Arabidopsis thaliana: one gene and its partners. The main gene of each other region encodes a partner of the protein of the gene in region 2 in a complex. Each region holds a gene or a part of one and is shown on either strand. Other genes may lie near its edges.

Region 1 (4,701 bases), on a different chromosome or scaffold from region 2:
AATGAGAAGGAAGATGAGGCAAAACAACCTTCACATAGGGAGATTTTTAAATTGAACAACTAGCTCAAGTAAACTTATAAGTAATGTTGTAAACATGGAATGAATAAGTTTGAAATTTGGTGCATTCTTAGATATGAGAAGGTGGTTAAAAGGGTATGGTGCAAAGACATATCCATCCCTAGTATTTAATAGATTGAAAGAAGGAATTTTTTTTTGGTTCTAGTTTAATGAGTGAAAATGAAAAAATAAATAAAAAGGCAAATGAAGATGAAGATGAACTCAAACTTTTGACTCTCTAATGTAATCTTATAAGCAAATAACCAACTTTTCTACTGAAAGTTATAAGAAAATGAGGCAAAAGTTTTATTTATATTAGGGAATTTAATGAAAAAAACCCTCAACTTTGGCCAGATCCATTTTTAAACCCTAAACTATGTTTTTAGTAAAACAAACCCTGAACTAAAACCTGTTAATAAACTTAACCCCACAGTAATTAAACAACGTTTAGGGTTAAGTTTATTAACAGGTTTTAGTTCAGGGTTTGTTTTACTAAAAACATAGTTTAGGGTTTAAAAATGGATCTGGCCAAAGTTGAGGTTTTTTTTCATTAAATTCCCTTTATATTAATTGAAGCCGCAAGCATGAGCTTGACCCGTTTGTGCTCATGGATGGCTCTGCTTGTATCTAGTTAGAAGCCGAAACAACTAGTTTTCAGTACGCTATGCATGTAACTCAAAGAATTTGGTGTAAGCAATAAGTGATTCTCATTCTTGGTCGTGCTACATTGAGGGAGATACAACAACCATGGGAAACACTTATGCCTAAGCCTAACTTTTGATTTGGGAGGAGGCAAATGAACTAATGCCTAAGCCTAATATTTTGCACAACTCTACTCGCGTGGCACCTCTTATCATCTTCAAATTGGTGGATCGTGAGCTTCGCAACCTAATCACTTCTCGACGACATCGCAAGCGTTGGCAGCGGCTAATGCTTTTATGGATTCGTTAAACACACCTAAATCTTTTCTAATTCTATTGTAGCCTTGTTTTTATTTTTTTTGCCTTGGTTACTTTTCTATAGGTTGTACGTTCTTGTATTTTCTGAACTCTCATTGTAATGATATTAACAAATTTAGCAAAAAAAAAAAAAAACTAATGTCAAACAAGGATCCTCAAATGCCAAATGTCAAATTAAGTTAGTACCTTTCCATGTTTACAAATTTGAATTTGAAGATGGTAAATTAGAAGAAAAAATGAAATTATGATCATTTTCCTTAATCAAAAGATTCAAAACTATCATTTAAAATTTACTTCTTCATTTTTTGCTCTTAAAAGAAAAAGTAAAAAATTACAAAAAGAGGGGAAAAAAATTTAGAGAGAAAGTGACCAGACACGACGGCGTTTTTGCATCACTTTCACCGAGATTTTTTTTCTGCATCCCGGCGACGAGACTGTGACTCCACCAAACCCTAAAATCAAAATTGCATTTTTTGTTCGATTTTGATTTTGTGGGGATTTTGGAATTTTCCCCGCACTAAGTCGTCTCGTTAACCCCACTTAACAGTTTCTCACTTTGACACTTTCTCTCTCTCTCAACGCACAGTGCTTTCTGTCGCCTTCAATCGCGACTTTTTGTCACACTTGCCCTCTTTTCTCCGATTTTTCTATAAATTTAGGGTTTTGTTTGCTTTCGTTGACATGAATCAGCAAAACCCAGAAGAAGAAGTTTCTTTGGTTAATAATAGCGGTGGTGGAGGAATCATCGAAGCTCCAGCTATAGTGGAGGAGAAAGAGGAAGAAGGATTACAGCAGAAGCAGGAAGAGACTATTGAGTCTACCGATCCGATTCTCGTCGTCGTTGAGGAGAAATTGTTAGAGAAATCAGTAGACGGAGAGAAAGAAGACGATAATAGTAGTAGTAGTAACATGGAGATTGATCCTGTGAGTCCGGCTACAGTTTTCTGTGTTAAGCTTAAGCAGCCCAATTCCAATTTGCTTCATAAGATGAGTGTTCCTGAATTGTGCCGTAACTTCAGGTTTGACTCTCTCTCCCATCGGAAAATCTTTAAATTTCATCAATTCCTGTAAAGTTTTCTCCTTTTCTTTGTGTTAGTGCTGTTGCGTGGTGTGGCAAATTGAATGCTATTGCTTGTGCTTCCGAGACCTGTGCCAGGATTCCAAGGTATGGTTTTTGTTACTTTTCTATGTCTTGAATGTATGGGCAGTGATGAATTTCTCAATTTTCATCTTTCTCTGTTCTCATCTCTTGCAGCTCCAAGGCAAATACACCTTTTTGGATACCAATACATATCTTGATACCTGAGCGCCCTACTGAGTGTGCGGTGTTTAATGTTGTGGCAGGTATTTTGATATCAGTTAATTATTTATGAACTCGGTTGATCTAGTGGGTGATAAACGATTATGATGCAATTTTTTATATGTAGACTCTCCTCGTGATTCTGTCCAATTTATCGAATGGTCTCCCACTTCTTGTCCTCGTGCGTTACTCATTGCTAATTTTCATGGACGTATAACTATCTGGACGCAGCCTACTCAGGTTTGTGCTCCTGATCACTGGGATTTACCTTTATATTTCTTCTTTGTCTTCTGTGTCAAGATGTTTTATGACACCCTCAGATGATTTTTTTTTTGTGGATTGGTTTTGCAGGGTTCGGCTAATTTAGTGCACGACGCTACCTCCTGGCAGTGTGAGCATGAATGGCGTCAGGACATTGCTGTTGTTACAAAGTGGCTGACAGGGGCTTCCCCAGTATGTAATCTTATGTTTTGCTTATTTGCCATTCTATCAAATGCACAGCATATTTGTCCCTTAATGAGTTCGTTAAATTAGTAATGGAGGGCTTGCATGTGAGAGTGGGCACTGGGATTACTAAATCGTGAGTAATTGAACTGGAAATGTCTCTACGTTTTGGAGGAAATGAGATGGAGAAAACACAACGTCCTGGAAATCCCAACTCTCTGTTTGCAAAATTACTAGACTCCTAAAAGATCTTCCAATTTGCGTTTCTTAGATGCATTTCTTTAATGATCGGCATGAACACATAAGGAAATGAGTAACAGATAGATAATAATGCCATTGCAAAGAACATGTTCTGAAGGACTTAATATCATGTTGTTTCTGGCCACCTAGTTTGCTGCTCTAGTTTTATCCTAGGAAATTTATCCTCTATGTTTTCTTTTTATTGATAATCAGTATAGGTGGTTGTCCTCCAAGCCAAGTTCTGGTACAAATGCAAAGTCAACTTTCGAGGAGAAATTTCTCTCGCAGAGCTCTGAAAGCTCAGGTTTTCTTCTGCGTGCCTCTTGTGACTCATTTTTTGATGATATATTCAGAATTATGCACTTAATTTTAATTATGTCAGTTCCTTTGACATCCAAATATATGTGACAAGATCAATACAACATGTTCTGACGTTAGTGCATTTTCCTCCACTTTATGTGACGGTTCTGATTCTCTACCATTTGTTGCAGCTCGGTGGCCCAACTTTCTCTGTGTATGCTCTGTTTTCTCATCCGGCTCTGTTCAAATTCATTGGTCCCAGTGGCCTTCTAACCAGGGAAGCACTGCACCAAAGTGGTTTAGTACAAAGAAAGGTCTTTTAGGTGCAGGGCCAAGTGGAATTATGGCTGCTGATGCTATTATAACAGACAGTGGTGCCATGCATGTAGCAGGAGTTCCAATTGTAAACCCTTCAACAATTGTAGTATGGGAGGTGACCCCTGGCCCTGGAAATGGACTCCAGGCGACTCCAAAAATCTCTACAGGCAGTCGTGTGCCACCATCCCTTAGTTCTTCTTCTTGGACAGGTTTTGCTCCTTTAGCTGCGTACTTGTTTAGCTGGCAAGAATACTTAATATCCGAGATAAAGCAAGGGAAGAAGCCCTCAGATCAAGATTCCAGTGATGCTATATCGCTAAGTTGCTCACCGGTTTCCAATTTTTCTGCTTATGTAAGTCCAGAGGCTGCAGCTCAGTCTGCAGCAACCACAACATGGGGATCTGGTGTTACCGCTGTTGCTTTTGATCCAACTCGTGGTGGTTCAGTGATAGCAGTTGTTATAGTTGAAGGTACTGTTCTCATCCTTCTCGGAACCTCATACTGTTTCCATGATTGAATAAACATTTTCAGGTTTACGTTTAGTTTTTGGTCAATCATTTAGAAATGCTCATATATTGAAGAGCTGCCAGATGAGAAAATGCTAATTTTGTTTGAGTGATGAAGCGCAACAGCTTCAATCTATTGTTTAAAATAAATGCTAATTGTTTGTGTCTGCAGGGCAGTACATGTCTCCGTATGATCCAGATGAAGGTCCTTCAATCACAGGCTGGAGAGTACAGCGCTGGGAATCAAGTGTTCAACCTGTTGTACTGCATCAGATATTTGGAAACCCAACTTCAAATTTTGGAGGACAGGTCCCCACGCAAACTGTCTGGGTATCCAGAGTGGATATGAGCATACCACCTACTAAAGATTTTAAGAATCATCAAGTAGCTGCAGCAGGACCAAGTGTGGATGCACCAAAGGAGCCTGATTCTGGTGATGAGAAGGCTAACAAGGTTGTATTTGATCCTTTTGATTTGCCAAGTGATATTCGGACACTTGCACGGATTGTCTATTCTGCTCATGGTGGTGAAATTGCGATTGCTTTTCTTCGTGGTGGAGTTCATATCTTTTCTGGTC
Region 2 (3,824 bases):
AATCATTATCTAATTCTTCTCTTGTCACCCCCTGAATTGTTAAAATGATGGTTATAATGTGCAGTATGAAGATGAAGACCACGATAAAGTGTTGTTGGCTTCAGATAGTGACCTTCAAGCAGCCATAGAGCATGCAAAATCAATTGGCTGGAAGGTAAAAAGAACGATTTCCTCCTGCTTTAAACTTTTGGTTGATAAGCAACAAGAACCAAAGTCGAAGATGAAACCTTCATGAGATTGCCCATAAACCCCTTTTGCTTTCTGAATTGATTTGATCATTATAAATTGCAGAGTCTGAGATTACATTTGGATGATTCAAGAGAAGGCAAAGGAAGAAGAAGGAGAAGAGCATCAGGATCAGCAGAATCAATGGAGTATGTAGAGACAGACGCTTGGGCTGCTGCTTATAGTGGAGTTGCGGCTGGTGCAGCATTAGTAGCTGGTCTTGGTTTTATGGCTTTTCTCAGAAAATTCGGTCATTGATTCCTCAGAAACACTACAAGAAGTGTTTCTTTAACAGATCAATACAAACAAAAAAGAAAAACAGACACAGGGTTTGAAGGTTTTGTCTGAAATATTTTTATATACAAAAGTCATTTTTGATTATTTTTTTGGCTTCATGATATCAAAATAACAAATATCTAAAACTAATACATGGAGTAATTCAAGAACAAGGCTTAGAATCTTTGTCTAAACTGATCTCACTATTGTCAAAAAAATAAAACTCAAACAGAACAAGGGCTTTGCCATGTAGAGATATCTGCTATAAGTTCCCGAAGTTTATCTATAAGTTCTTTAACATGAACATTCTTCTTTGCAATCTCCTGCATGAACAAAAGCTTCCGTTTATTAATGCCAACAGAGAAGAACAATATAATCACTTCCCATAAGGTTATTAACATAGAAATCAAAATGACCAGATGGCTGAAATGTATTCAAAAAATTATCAACATTTCCATGGTTCTAGAACCGCTTAAGCTATAATGATACAAACACTTACACTAGACAGTGGGAAAGAACACTTTATACAAGAAAATATGAATCAAATTCAATGCTATGTGAGTTGAAATGTACAGAGAATTCGAGACTGAATAGTGTATCAATGTAGTAACATCAGATTGAAAACAAAGAGATGTAGAAATTGCAGAAAGCTTTACCATTCTGAGACTTAAGGCTTGCTCCTCCAATTTTTCGATCTCGTCTTCACTTTCAGGAGATCCTAAACCATTTTGCATTTCAGATGCTTTTGCCTGTAATAGATGAACAAATTCAAATTTATGAAACCTCAAAAAAGCTCTCATTTAAAATTAAGCAAGTTCACTACAAGTGAAGAACAAGACACTCAACAAGCATTAGATCCTTCATCTAAACTCTCTATCGATTCGAAGATTTCCTAATCTAAGATCTCAAAACACCCTAGGAATTCAAAATTTCCTCAGTCCAGAAACAACTCAGAACAAAACACTTCTCGAAATAGTTAGTAACATCACATTATGTTCAATACCTTCTGCGAATTTGGAATCGCAGCAAGAACAGCACGAAGCGAAGTCACTGAGTTCTTATACCGAAGACTCGCCTCATCCAAAACACTATTTCCACTTCCTCCGCCCCCGCCACCACCAGCAGATTCCGAATGATGCGATGTTCCATCAATCGCAGCCGCATCGGCGGAAACGAGAGCCGAACCATTAGAACCCGTCGTCGTCGCGGCGGAACTCGGGGTAGCTGAAGTAGACCACAAAGACGGATTACAAAGCTCATCATTCATGGCTGAAATTATCTGAAACGCCGCTTCAATAGTTTCTTCCAATTGCTTCTCTCCTTCCATCGCTAGCTCCTGTGTCGTCATCGTCGTCGTCGTCGAGACCTGTTTCTGCAGCATCACCGTGAACACACTTTATCACGGCGTCGGTTGACTAAACTATTAATACGATGTCGTTTTAATCAAACTATATAATATATATATCAATAATATAGTTTTTATAGATAAATAAAAATAGAAAGAAATCAGCTACATCGCTGTCTACCTTATCCACTATTACTCCAATCCATATGACAAAAACTATCTAAAACGTTAGTTTGATCTTTTGATCCAATCACAAGGCAAAGATCCAATGGACAATAACAACAACAACAACAACCAGCAACCACCACCAACCTCCGTCTATCCACCTGGCTCCGCCGTCACAACCGTAATCCCTCCTCCACCATCTGGATCTGCATCAATAGTCACCGGAGGAGGAGCGACATACCACCACCTCCTCCAGCAACAACAGCAACAGCTTCAAATGTTCTGGACATACCAGAGACAAGAGATCGAACAGGTAAACGATTTCAAAAACCATCAGCTCCCTCTAGCTCGTATCAAAAAAATCATGAAAGCTGATGAAGATGTGCGTATGATCTCCGCCGAAGCACCGATTCTCTTCGCGAAAGCTTGTGAGCTTTTCATTCTCGAACTTACGATTAGATCTTGGCTTCACGCTGAAGAGAACAAACGTCGTACGCTTCAGAAAAACGATATCGCTGCTGCGATTACTAGAACCGATATCTTCGATTTCCTTGTTGATATTGTTCCTAGGGAAGAGATCAAGGAAGAGGAAGATGCAGCATCGGCTCTTGGTGGAGGAGGTATGGTTGCTCCCGCCGCGAGCGGTGTTCCTTATTATTATCCACCGATGGGACAACCGGCGGTTCCTGGAGGGATGATGATTGGAAGACCGGCGATGGATCCTAGCGGTGTTTATGCTCAGCCTCCTTCTCAGGCATGGCAAAGCGTTTGGCAGAATTCAGCTGGTGGTGGTGATGATGTGTCTTATGGAAGTGGAGGAAGTAGCGGCCATGGTAATCTCGATAGCCAAGGGTAAGTGAATTCTAGTAATATTCAGCAATGTAGCTTGTTGCAATTGATTATCTATGGTTATTGAGATTCTTCATGAGCTTGCTTTGATTAGTCTTAGAGGAATTTGCTGCTCTGTGTCATCTTCATTGATTCTCATCAAATAAGCTAAAAATTGATAATATCAAAGAAGCTCAATTTACAGTATCATCTGGCTCATTTCTTTAGATTCATAAACAAAACTTTGTAAAATACACAATTTTGATATCCATTATTTGATTTGACTCACACCTTTGATTATTTGTACAATGTTGTGCAGTTGAGCTATGGAACCAGAAGCTTAGAGATTTAATCATCATTTCGACCCTGCAAGTGTCTGATTCTTATATGTCTATGATTCGAATGACTTACTCGAGAGAGAGAGAGAGATCAAACAAAACAAAACAAAAAAGCTCTTTTTCATTTTTCCTGTTAACTTATAAGTTATTGCAGCAAAACTGCAGACTTGCTTAACTATATATTAATCTAAATGTGCAGATTCTAATCTATGCTTTGTATTTTTGTTGATTCTTGCTCCTAATCTAGTAATGATCAGAGCTTATGTATGGCATATTGAGTTTGTATTTCATGGCTTGTAGTAGCTTTGAGTTCTCTGTCTCTTATAATAACTTCTTACTTAATCATCTTAAGGCCTGATAAGGCCTATATATTAGCTTTGAATAGACCACGTTTTAACATGTATATATAAATTATATTAAGGCCCATATATTAACTTCTTACTTAATCATCTTAAGGCCTAATAAGGCCCATATCTTTCTCCAATAGACGCAATCGGACGGTGACCATCTCTGTGCCGCTTTGTTCCTAAACGATTTTCTGTCTGTTCTCTCTTTGCTCTCTCGCCCTCTCTTGCTCTTCTGGGTTCGTCTTCCTCGGCTAGGGTTTATCAGTGGTTTGTCAATGGAGGCTTCATCATCTCAACCAT
Region 3 (4,299 bases), on a different chromosome or scaffold from region 2:
TCGACGGTCGTGATCCGTTGCCACCACACAGATCCGCCGCGAGTTGATGGCTGAGATGAGGCAAGGCAGGGCATGAGGAAACAACAACCTCGCTTCGCGAACAACGCCTCGTGCATATCGTCGGTGGCATCAACTTCAGCGATCGGCGGCGATTGATGACTCATTCTCAGAGAGAAACAGAAACGAAGGAAATATGGAATTTCGTCCTGATCTAGCTACTCTCTTTTGTCTCCTTAGATCGTCGTTCCTCTTCTCATCTCCAACTCTAAACCCTAATTTTCTCCCTCTACCCAAGAGATTTCTATCACCTTCTCCAATCAACGCGTCTCTTGAGCTGTAACTAAAACAGAAGAGCACAAAACGGCGTAACCGCCAACCCGGCAATATTGGTTCTCATTAACCCTTTTTAACCGCTTTGGTTTTATCACATCTAACCGGGAATTTCAGCTGTTGATGCTATTAATTTATTAAACCACATATGAATGAAGGGGTTCATATACGTAATTGACGTTAGCACATTTGGTTCCAAGTATTGATCGATACATTAAACCGCAATAAAATTGGTCCGTTTCTCTCTGGCCCAAAATTGGTTCGATTTCTCCATAAGCTGAAATTGATAACTCCCAGTGGATGTAATGTATCTAATATTCTTGGAACAGATTCATTGCAAGTGAATGTTCTAACCAAAATCACCTAATCTTTTTGCAAAATCTAATATAGTAAGTAGGATAATATCTTACTTTTGCAACAAGCCACTCATTCGTAAAAACCGGACATACTTTAATGGGATAACCTACAAGTCTACAACTCATCTGGAAACTATATCACAACCGATGGTTTAGTATAGTTCTTCAAGTAACCTTTTTATGAATACCAATATCAATCAGAAGAAGGATACCGGTCAGCAGTTTGTTTCAGATCTTCAAGCTGCGTGAGAACATATTCAAGCTTCTGGAAGCAGATCTCATTGGCTATTCTCGCGTTGTAATCGCATTTCTCAAAGGGACGGTACTCGCAAGCGCTTTTGATCTCTTCCCTTAGTGTCACTTGTATATCCTGCAAGTTTCACAAGAACTTCATCTTATTATGGATTGGCGATAACATTATAGCACATTTATGTACAGTCAAAGATCAACAAGTTCATGAACCAGACAATGAAGCTGATATCTTCAAACTTTATGATTATCTCTAGAAAAAAAGCAGAATCAAAAGCTTTTTACTTGTTCACAGAATGTAATGATCCCTAATCTAGACATGTGTCAAATGAGAGCCCAAATGTTCTTTAAACAGTGAGATTCCATCCAATATGAAAATATCAGCATCCATCACTCATAAACCTTAAGCCTAAGAATAAAGGATCAATGTCAAATCCTAAGAAACAGGAAAGGAATACAAACCTAGAGATTGTGATACATGAACCCATATGTTAACTAGTCACAGAAGAATCACAAAACGAGAAGCAGCGGCCATCTTGAAGACTAAAACCAAAATCAAAATTCTAAACAAAGCCCTTAACTTTGATCAGGAAATGTAATGAACCCTAATATAGACTTGTGTCAAATTAGCCCAAACGATCAACACTCGAGAAAAGATACCAATTCCCCAGAGAGATTGAGTCAGCAAGAACACTAATCTAGCTAGACTTGTGTCAAGTGATCCCCAATGTTCTTTGATCAGGTAGTTTATTAATACACTAATGCAAAAGAAATCAGAAAATATTTGAAGAAGAGATAGAGTAAGAAACCTTCATAGATTGCATAAACTCTCGGCAATGGCTGTTGACGAACTCTTTCTTGGGACCAGAAGGGCTCGCGAGTTCTTCCATCACTCCACCAGCTAGTTCCAAAACCTTAACAACTCTCTGCCCGGAAAACCAAAAATAAAAACACAAAAACACATTCACATCAAATCGTCCAATAAAATCTCTAAGGAAAGAGTGAGTTTTCCAAAATTTCACATTCTCAACATTCTGGAGTCGCTGCAACGAAGTGTTCTGCGTCTGCGGATCCATTGGACTCTCCACGATTTCTTTTAGACCAGAGAGAGAGAACTCCAAACTGAGATATATCACAATACCGTCAAATCCACTCATACACATACCCTAAATACTCAAATCGGAGCAGTGGGAGTACCTCAATCGAACACGGCGACGCGAGACAGTGAAGATGGCAGAGACGATGAAATAACACGGAGAATTTCGATTGGAAACGGCGTGCTTATGATCAGCAACGGAGGGAAGATTTTGGGGAATCGGCGACACTCGGCAATACAGATCGGTGAAGGAAAAAGCAAAGAAGATACAAGTTTTTTTTGTCACGTAAAACGGCACGAACTCTACTTTATCAATTCAGGAACAGCGAGTAGTTAAAATATTGAATTACGAAAACACCCCTTGGTTCAGATAAAATCTTTGTGATGGCCGCTTTTCTCATTTATAACGGATAAAAACCGTAAACAATACACAAGAACAGAGGCTGACACCTAAAGCTTACTCTCTAACTGCAATGGCTCACTTCATAGACCTCAACAGTCTCACCAACACTTTACCGTCTCTTCCGAAACTACCCGAGAGTCGTAAAACCGGGAAATCCAGCGGGTTTGCTTGCAGGAGAACTGAAGAATTTCAAGAACCGGATTCGGTACAGATCACAAGACGGATGACATTAGGATTTGCTGTCTCAATAGGTCTTACCGGAATTCTCGGCGAAAATAATGTTTCCTTGGCACAAGACAATGGGTTTTGGATTGATGGTCCTCTTCCAATTCCTCCTATTTACAACAGTAAGCGCCATTTTATATTCTTGATTGTTTTCTTTCTTCAAATGTTTGAACATTTTGAGCCATACAACTATTCAAGATGAGAATTCGATTTGGTAGAATCATTTGATTTCCGGTTTTGAATTCGTCCTCGATTTGAATATACAGATATCGTGAATGAGAAGACGGGAACGAGAACATTCATAAAGAAAGGAGTGTATGTAGCGGATATCGGGACGAAAGGAAGAATGTATAGAGTTAAAAAGAATGCTTTTGATCTCTTGGCAATGGAGGATTTGATCGGACCAGATACTTTAAACTATGTGAAAAAGTACTTGAGGCTTAAATCCACATTTTTGTTTTACGATTTCGACAATCTCATCTCTGCTGCTGCCTCTGAAGACAAGCAACCTCTCACTGATTTAGCCAACAGATTGTTCGACAATTTCGAAAAGGTAAGTGTACTAATGAAGTCCTGGTTCGTTCAAACCGAAGAGACTATTGTTTTTTTAAAATTTCTTCTCTTTTCTGATATATCCTATATGTTTATTTGTTGTTTTCTTGGTGTTTCGACACAGCTTGAAGATGCAGCTAAGACGAAGAACTTAGCAGAGACGGAATCGTGTTATAAAGATACAAAGTTTCTTCTTCAAGAGGTAATGACCAGAATGGCATGATCCTGGTTCGGTTTATACCGGTTTACTTGCTATTGATGATCCTACATGGTTGATAACTCTGTGGTCATAAATTGTAATCTTTGCGGAAAAATATTGAGATCTAGTAATCAAAAAAAAAAAATGTAATGTATAGACCAAAATATGATCAAATTTATAACGAATTGGATTTTAATTTTTCAATCAAAGATACAGAAAGAAGAGTATATGCACTAAATGTTTAATATTGAAATCTTAGTTTTAAGAAAACATTTGGCCAAAAAAAAAAAAAGTTTTAAGAAAACCAATGTAATATAGACTAAAACATGATATATATCAAATAAACCGACTAACTTTTTGCCTAAAACTAACGGTTGAGTCGTTGAGATTTATCTTACCACATCGACATATTCACACACAAAATAAAGAAACAAACCCATAAACCAAAGATAGAGAAACAGTGGTCGTACAACGTTTACTCACAGAGGCTTACAATATCAAACTGAGGGCTTGTGACTGTCATGAACCCGCAACAAGACCCTCTCGAGCCACACCTGCGACATTGGTGACACGTATCACAGCCTGTGCACTAAGAGGTGAGAGGTTTGATTGGCAGAAGATTTGCCAAGTGACTGGCTCTGGATGCTCCTCCTTCGGTTCGACATTAGTAGTTTTCTTGTACACTGTCTGAAGTTCCAGTAAGACTGCCCGTGCAGCCTCCCGAGATTCTGGGAGTTGGTCACTGAGCTGAGACGATGCTGCTTGGACTAGTTTCTCAATTCCATATTCTCTAATGCCTTCAATGCCCTAATGATTACACAGCCAAAGAAAGGTGATGTTGGTGGGAACATGGACTGGATCCAAATTGGTTGTCATGGTGATGACATGA
Region 4 (3,200 bases), on a different chromosome or scaffold from region 2:
TCCTCCTAGCCCCATACTTAATTTGGAGTCATTAATCAGACTTTCTGCTTTTGAATCTGGTGAATGTGTAGGTTCAGGCAAAGTTGGAACCACAAAACTCAGCTGGAGCTTTTTGTGGATCCTTATAATCGGGGTGGGTGTTGCAGGTCTTTCTGGATATGCAGTCTACAAATACAGAATCAGGGTATACGATGTTCTTTACTCTGGTCTTGTTATCATATTAAAACATAGGAAGATTTTGCGGTCTAGATAGAGATGCTAAGTAACAATTGAAATTATGCAGAGTTACATGGATGCGGAAATTAGAGGGATCATGGCACAGTACATGCCATTGGAAAGTCAACCACCCAACACAAGTGGTCACCATATGGATATATGAGTGAAGTTATCAACACAAGCCAAGAGACTCTCTCTCTTTCTATGAGTAGCTTTAAGTTTCCATGTAAATGAATCAATGGACTTGATACAACTCTAGAGAAAAGAAAAAAGCCACAAACAGAAATAAGTGTACCTGCACTATTTGTAAGAAATGTGGATTTGCAGATGGAATCTCCTTTTTGTCTGCATATTACTCTTACAATGTAAAATAGACATAACTGGATGAATAATGAGTGTTACATTATTTACTGTTGAAACTAACTTAAGATCCATAAGAAGAAAAACAATAAACTTTGATTGAGAGATTGTTAAACTTTCTCCAGCTCATCTCTGTGTTTCTCAATCTGTTCTTTCACAAGCTTCTGCGACTCTTGGAAAAGCCTCATGTGCTTCTTTATAAGCTCATCTTTTGTCTTAAGCTCTTCCTCCATTACTGCAATATCCTGTTAAGAACAGAACAGAAGAGAGCAGAAACTGGTAAGACAATATGTGTTTGGAGTTTTCACATTGGTAAATCAAACCACACCTTCTTAAGGCTTTCAGCTCTCGAGGGCGCGCGATCTTCTCGCTTTAGTCCCATGAAGTAAAGCTGAAGCTTTTTCGCAGCTTCCATGAAATCTCTGGCGTGCCGCTCCACATCAACTGCAGCAGTTCAATGAGGGGAATTAAGCTAGAACATCGAATATGGAATCAAAGCTTCGGTTTCAACTGAATTCTAAGCACAAAATTCACTGAGATCATAAGTTAAGCACAAAAACAAACACAACTTCCAAACTATCATTCAAACTAAAACCCTAGAATGGTGAAATTGGAGAGTAGAAAAGGGACTGACTTTGATGAGAAGGGTGAGGAGAGCGATCGATGGCCTGAAGCTCTCTCGCCGGCAAACATGGTAACAGAGCAGCTTCCAAGGCTGTGACGCAAGCCATAATGTCCTCTATGTCATTATTCTGATTGTTCGAGGGGGTCTCCGGTGATCTGATTCCCGGTGGACGGTCAGGCGGTGACGGCGAAGGGTCAGAAGACTGCGGCGGCTTTTGCTGATAATCCATTCACGCCGATCTCGATCTCTCTTTCTCTCTGCTTGTTTGTTTGCCCATAAGGTTTAGTGAAAAATATTATAATGGGGGCCCATTTACTGGATTTAATTTGGGCTTATTGGGCCTTTTCCACATTCTTAATTGTTCTTAAGAATATCATTTTGATGTAATTAATTGAAAACACTGAAAATTCATTTTTAATAAATATATGAAGTAAATCATTTATTTCATATGAAAAAACAATAGTAAGGAGAAGGAACAACATTTTCTGATACTTTACTCTTGATTTGATGTCACAAGATATAACAGATGATGGCTTTTGTAACAAATTTTGATTCCTTATGTAACTTTTTATCTCCATCAAATTAGATAAGTTACATCCTTACTTAAAGATTTTTTAGCTATGGATTTTCTAATGAAATTTGTAAAATGAGTAAGCGATTGACTAAATACTGTAACCATTCTCTTCATTATCAGTGAAAATAGCTTTTAACACATCTCTCATTCTCTTCCTTCTGATTCACAATCATCCATGTGAAAAGATGACAACAAAAACCTTAGATAGAGAACTCACACATTAGTTACAGAAGAAAGATTCTCATTTACTACTACATAAGGAAGTACGGAACATATGATCAGACATCAAGCTTCCCGGTCGGAGAAAGTCTGCTACTCCGGTATTTAGGAGACAAGTTAACAAACTCCAAAGCCTGTGTTCTGAGCTGAACCGGATAATCAGCTGCACAACCGATTCTTGGACCAACTCCTGTCGACCATTTCAGTGACAACTGATGTCCCAATTGTAATGATCTTGACTGTTTCTTTGAGTTTATCCTTAGTAGCATAGATTTCTGCGGCACGTTAGCTTTTGGACTCCCAAGTCCACCTGAGAGTGTTCTCTGGTAGCTACTCCGTTTTGCCTCCTCAAGTGTTCCCACTGTTCCGTTACCGTTCTCATCTGTTTCAGTCTCTGCTTGGAATGTTGTGTCCTCTTTCTTTAACGGTTCCGGTTCAGATCCTCCGTTGGATTTAACATAATCATCGTAGCTGTCAGAATCTTCACTAGCTTTATGCACCTACACATACATAGATATATTAGCTCTCAAGTAGTCTCTTTTTCTAAACAACCAAACTCTAGTTAATGATATCATTCACCAGCCAAGATTAGAACAAGGGCATTACCTCAACATTGTCTAGGTTCACTGCGTTCTCTCTGAGAAACCCGAGAAATGTGTCGAGACTATCGTCTGACGGCCTGTAATGTCCGCTATATGCAGAGATTGTCTGAGATTAAACCGAAAACAGAACGATCAAACAGAGAAATCACAGAAGGCAGACATAATAAAAAAGTTGATATGAATGAACATGTATCTCAACCACTCTAAGAAAAGGACGTGGCCTTAGTAAGTTACCTTGAGAACTCCATTGTCAACAATCACCCTCCCAGCAGCTAATGTAGCTCCTCCAGCCAAAAAGCTTGAGTGATGGAACCTTCCTTTCTTTTTCTGAAGTAAACATAAACAAAGAAAAGAACCATTAGAATCTTTTTCAATACTAATATCAATTCATCACCAATAGAAAGATATAACGGTTTTAACTTACCAGACCGGCATAGAGTTTCTTGAAAGTACTCATAACAAAGATCCATTTTGTTCCTTCCGATCCATGCATTGTGTGTAAGAACTTTCCAGTTAACTTGTGAACAATCTTCCCTTCTATGATCACATACTCATACTCTTCCCTCTCTTGCTGATACCAGAAAAGGCTTATATGAGAGAAATC

The links.
Region 1: AT5G63480 (region 2) and SFR6 share a complex: the UniProt entries of both Arabidopsis thaliana proteins name them as parts of the mediator complex.
Region 3: AT5G63480 (region 2) and AT3G01435 share a complex: the UniProt entries of both Arabidopsis thaliana proteins name them as parts of the mediator complex.
Region 4: AT5G63480 (region 2) and AT3G52860 share a complex: the UniProt entries of both Arabidopsis thaliana proteins name them as parts of the mediator complex.

What each region holds. Positions count from the first base shown.
Region 1 is NC_003075.7:2,496,234-2,500,934, forward strand, and holds the start of SFR6 (sensitive to freezing 6), read left to right. Parts: upstream 1-1,697; coding exon 1,698-2,035; intron 2,036-2,112; coding exon 2,113-2,181; intron 2,182-2,271; coding exon 2,272-2,360; intron 2,361-2,443; coding exon 2,444-2,556; intron 2,557-2,667; coding exon 2,668-2,769; intron 2,770-3,213; coding exon 3,214-3,304; intron 3,305-3,491; coding exon 3,492-4,088; intron 4,089-4,296; coding exon 4,297-4,701. UniProt on the Arabidopsis thaliana protein: Component of the Mediator complex, a coactivator involved in the regulated transcription of nearly all RNA polymerase II-dependent genes.
Region 2 is NC_003076.8:25,415,375-25,419,198, reverse strand, and holds AT5G63480 (mediator of RNA polymerase II transcription subunit), read right to left. Parts: upstream 1,951-3,824; 5' UTR 1,883-1,950; coding exon 1,505-1,882; intron 1,251-1,504; coding exon 1,158-1,250; intron 825-1,157; coding exon 726-824; 3' UTR 564-725; downstream 1-563. Other genes in the region: AT5G63490 (CBS / octicosapeptide/Phox/Bemp1 (PB1) domains-containing protein), read left to right, coding at 65-154, 292-483; NF-YC4 (nuclear factor Y, subunit C4), read left to right, coding at 2,115-2,867; AT5G63460 (SAP domain-containing protein), read left to right, coding at 3,800-3,824. UniProt on the Arabidopsis thaliana protein: Component of the Mediator complex, a coactivator involved in the regulated transcription of nearly all RNA polymerase II-dependent genes.
Region 3 is NC_003074.8:165,974-170,272, forward strand, and holds AT3G01435 (uncharacterized protein), read right to left. Parts: upstream 2,316-4,299; 5' UTR 2,133-2,315; intron 2,081-2,132; exon of another isoform or gene 2,058-2,080; 5' UTR 2,012-2,057; coding exon 1,745-2,011; intron 1,057-1,744; coding exon 880-1,056; 3' UTR 541-879; downstream 1-540. Other genes in the region: AT3G01430 (NHL domain protein), read right to left, coding at 1-164; PnsL3 (PsbQ-like 1), read left to right, coding at 2,505-2,781, 2,926-3,212, 3,336-3,434; AT3G01450 (ARM repeat superfamily protein), read right to left, coding at 3,930-4,217. UniProt on the Arabidopsis thaliana protein: Component of the Mediator complex, a coactivator involved in the regulated transcription of nearly all RNA polymerase II-dependent genes.
Region 4 is NC_003074.8:19,591,312-19,594,511, forward strand, and holds AT3G52860 (mediator of RNA polymerase II transcription subunit-like protein), read right to left. Parts: upstream 1,458-3,200; 5' UTR 1,431-1,457; coding exon 1,211-1,430; exon of another isoform or gene 1,021-1,210; coding exon 905-1,020; intron 822-904; coding exon 687-821; 3' UTR 537-686; downstream 1-536. Other genes in the region: VSR1 (vacuolar sorting receptor homolog 1), read left to right, coding at 72-184, 284-379; AT3G52870 (IQ calmodulin-binding motif family protein), read right to left, coding at 2,054-2,494, 2,601-2,702, 2,831-2,923, 3,021-3,167. UniProt on the Arabidopsis thaliana protein: Component of the Mediator complex, a coactivator involved in the regulated transcription of nearly all RNA polymerase II-dependent genes.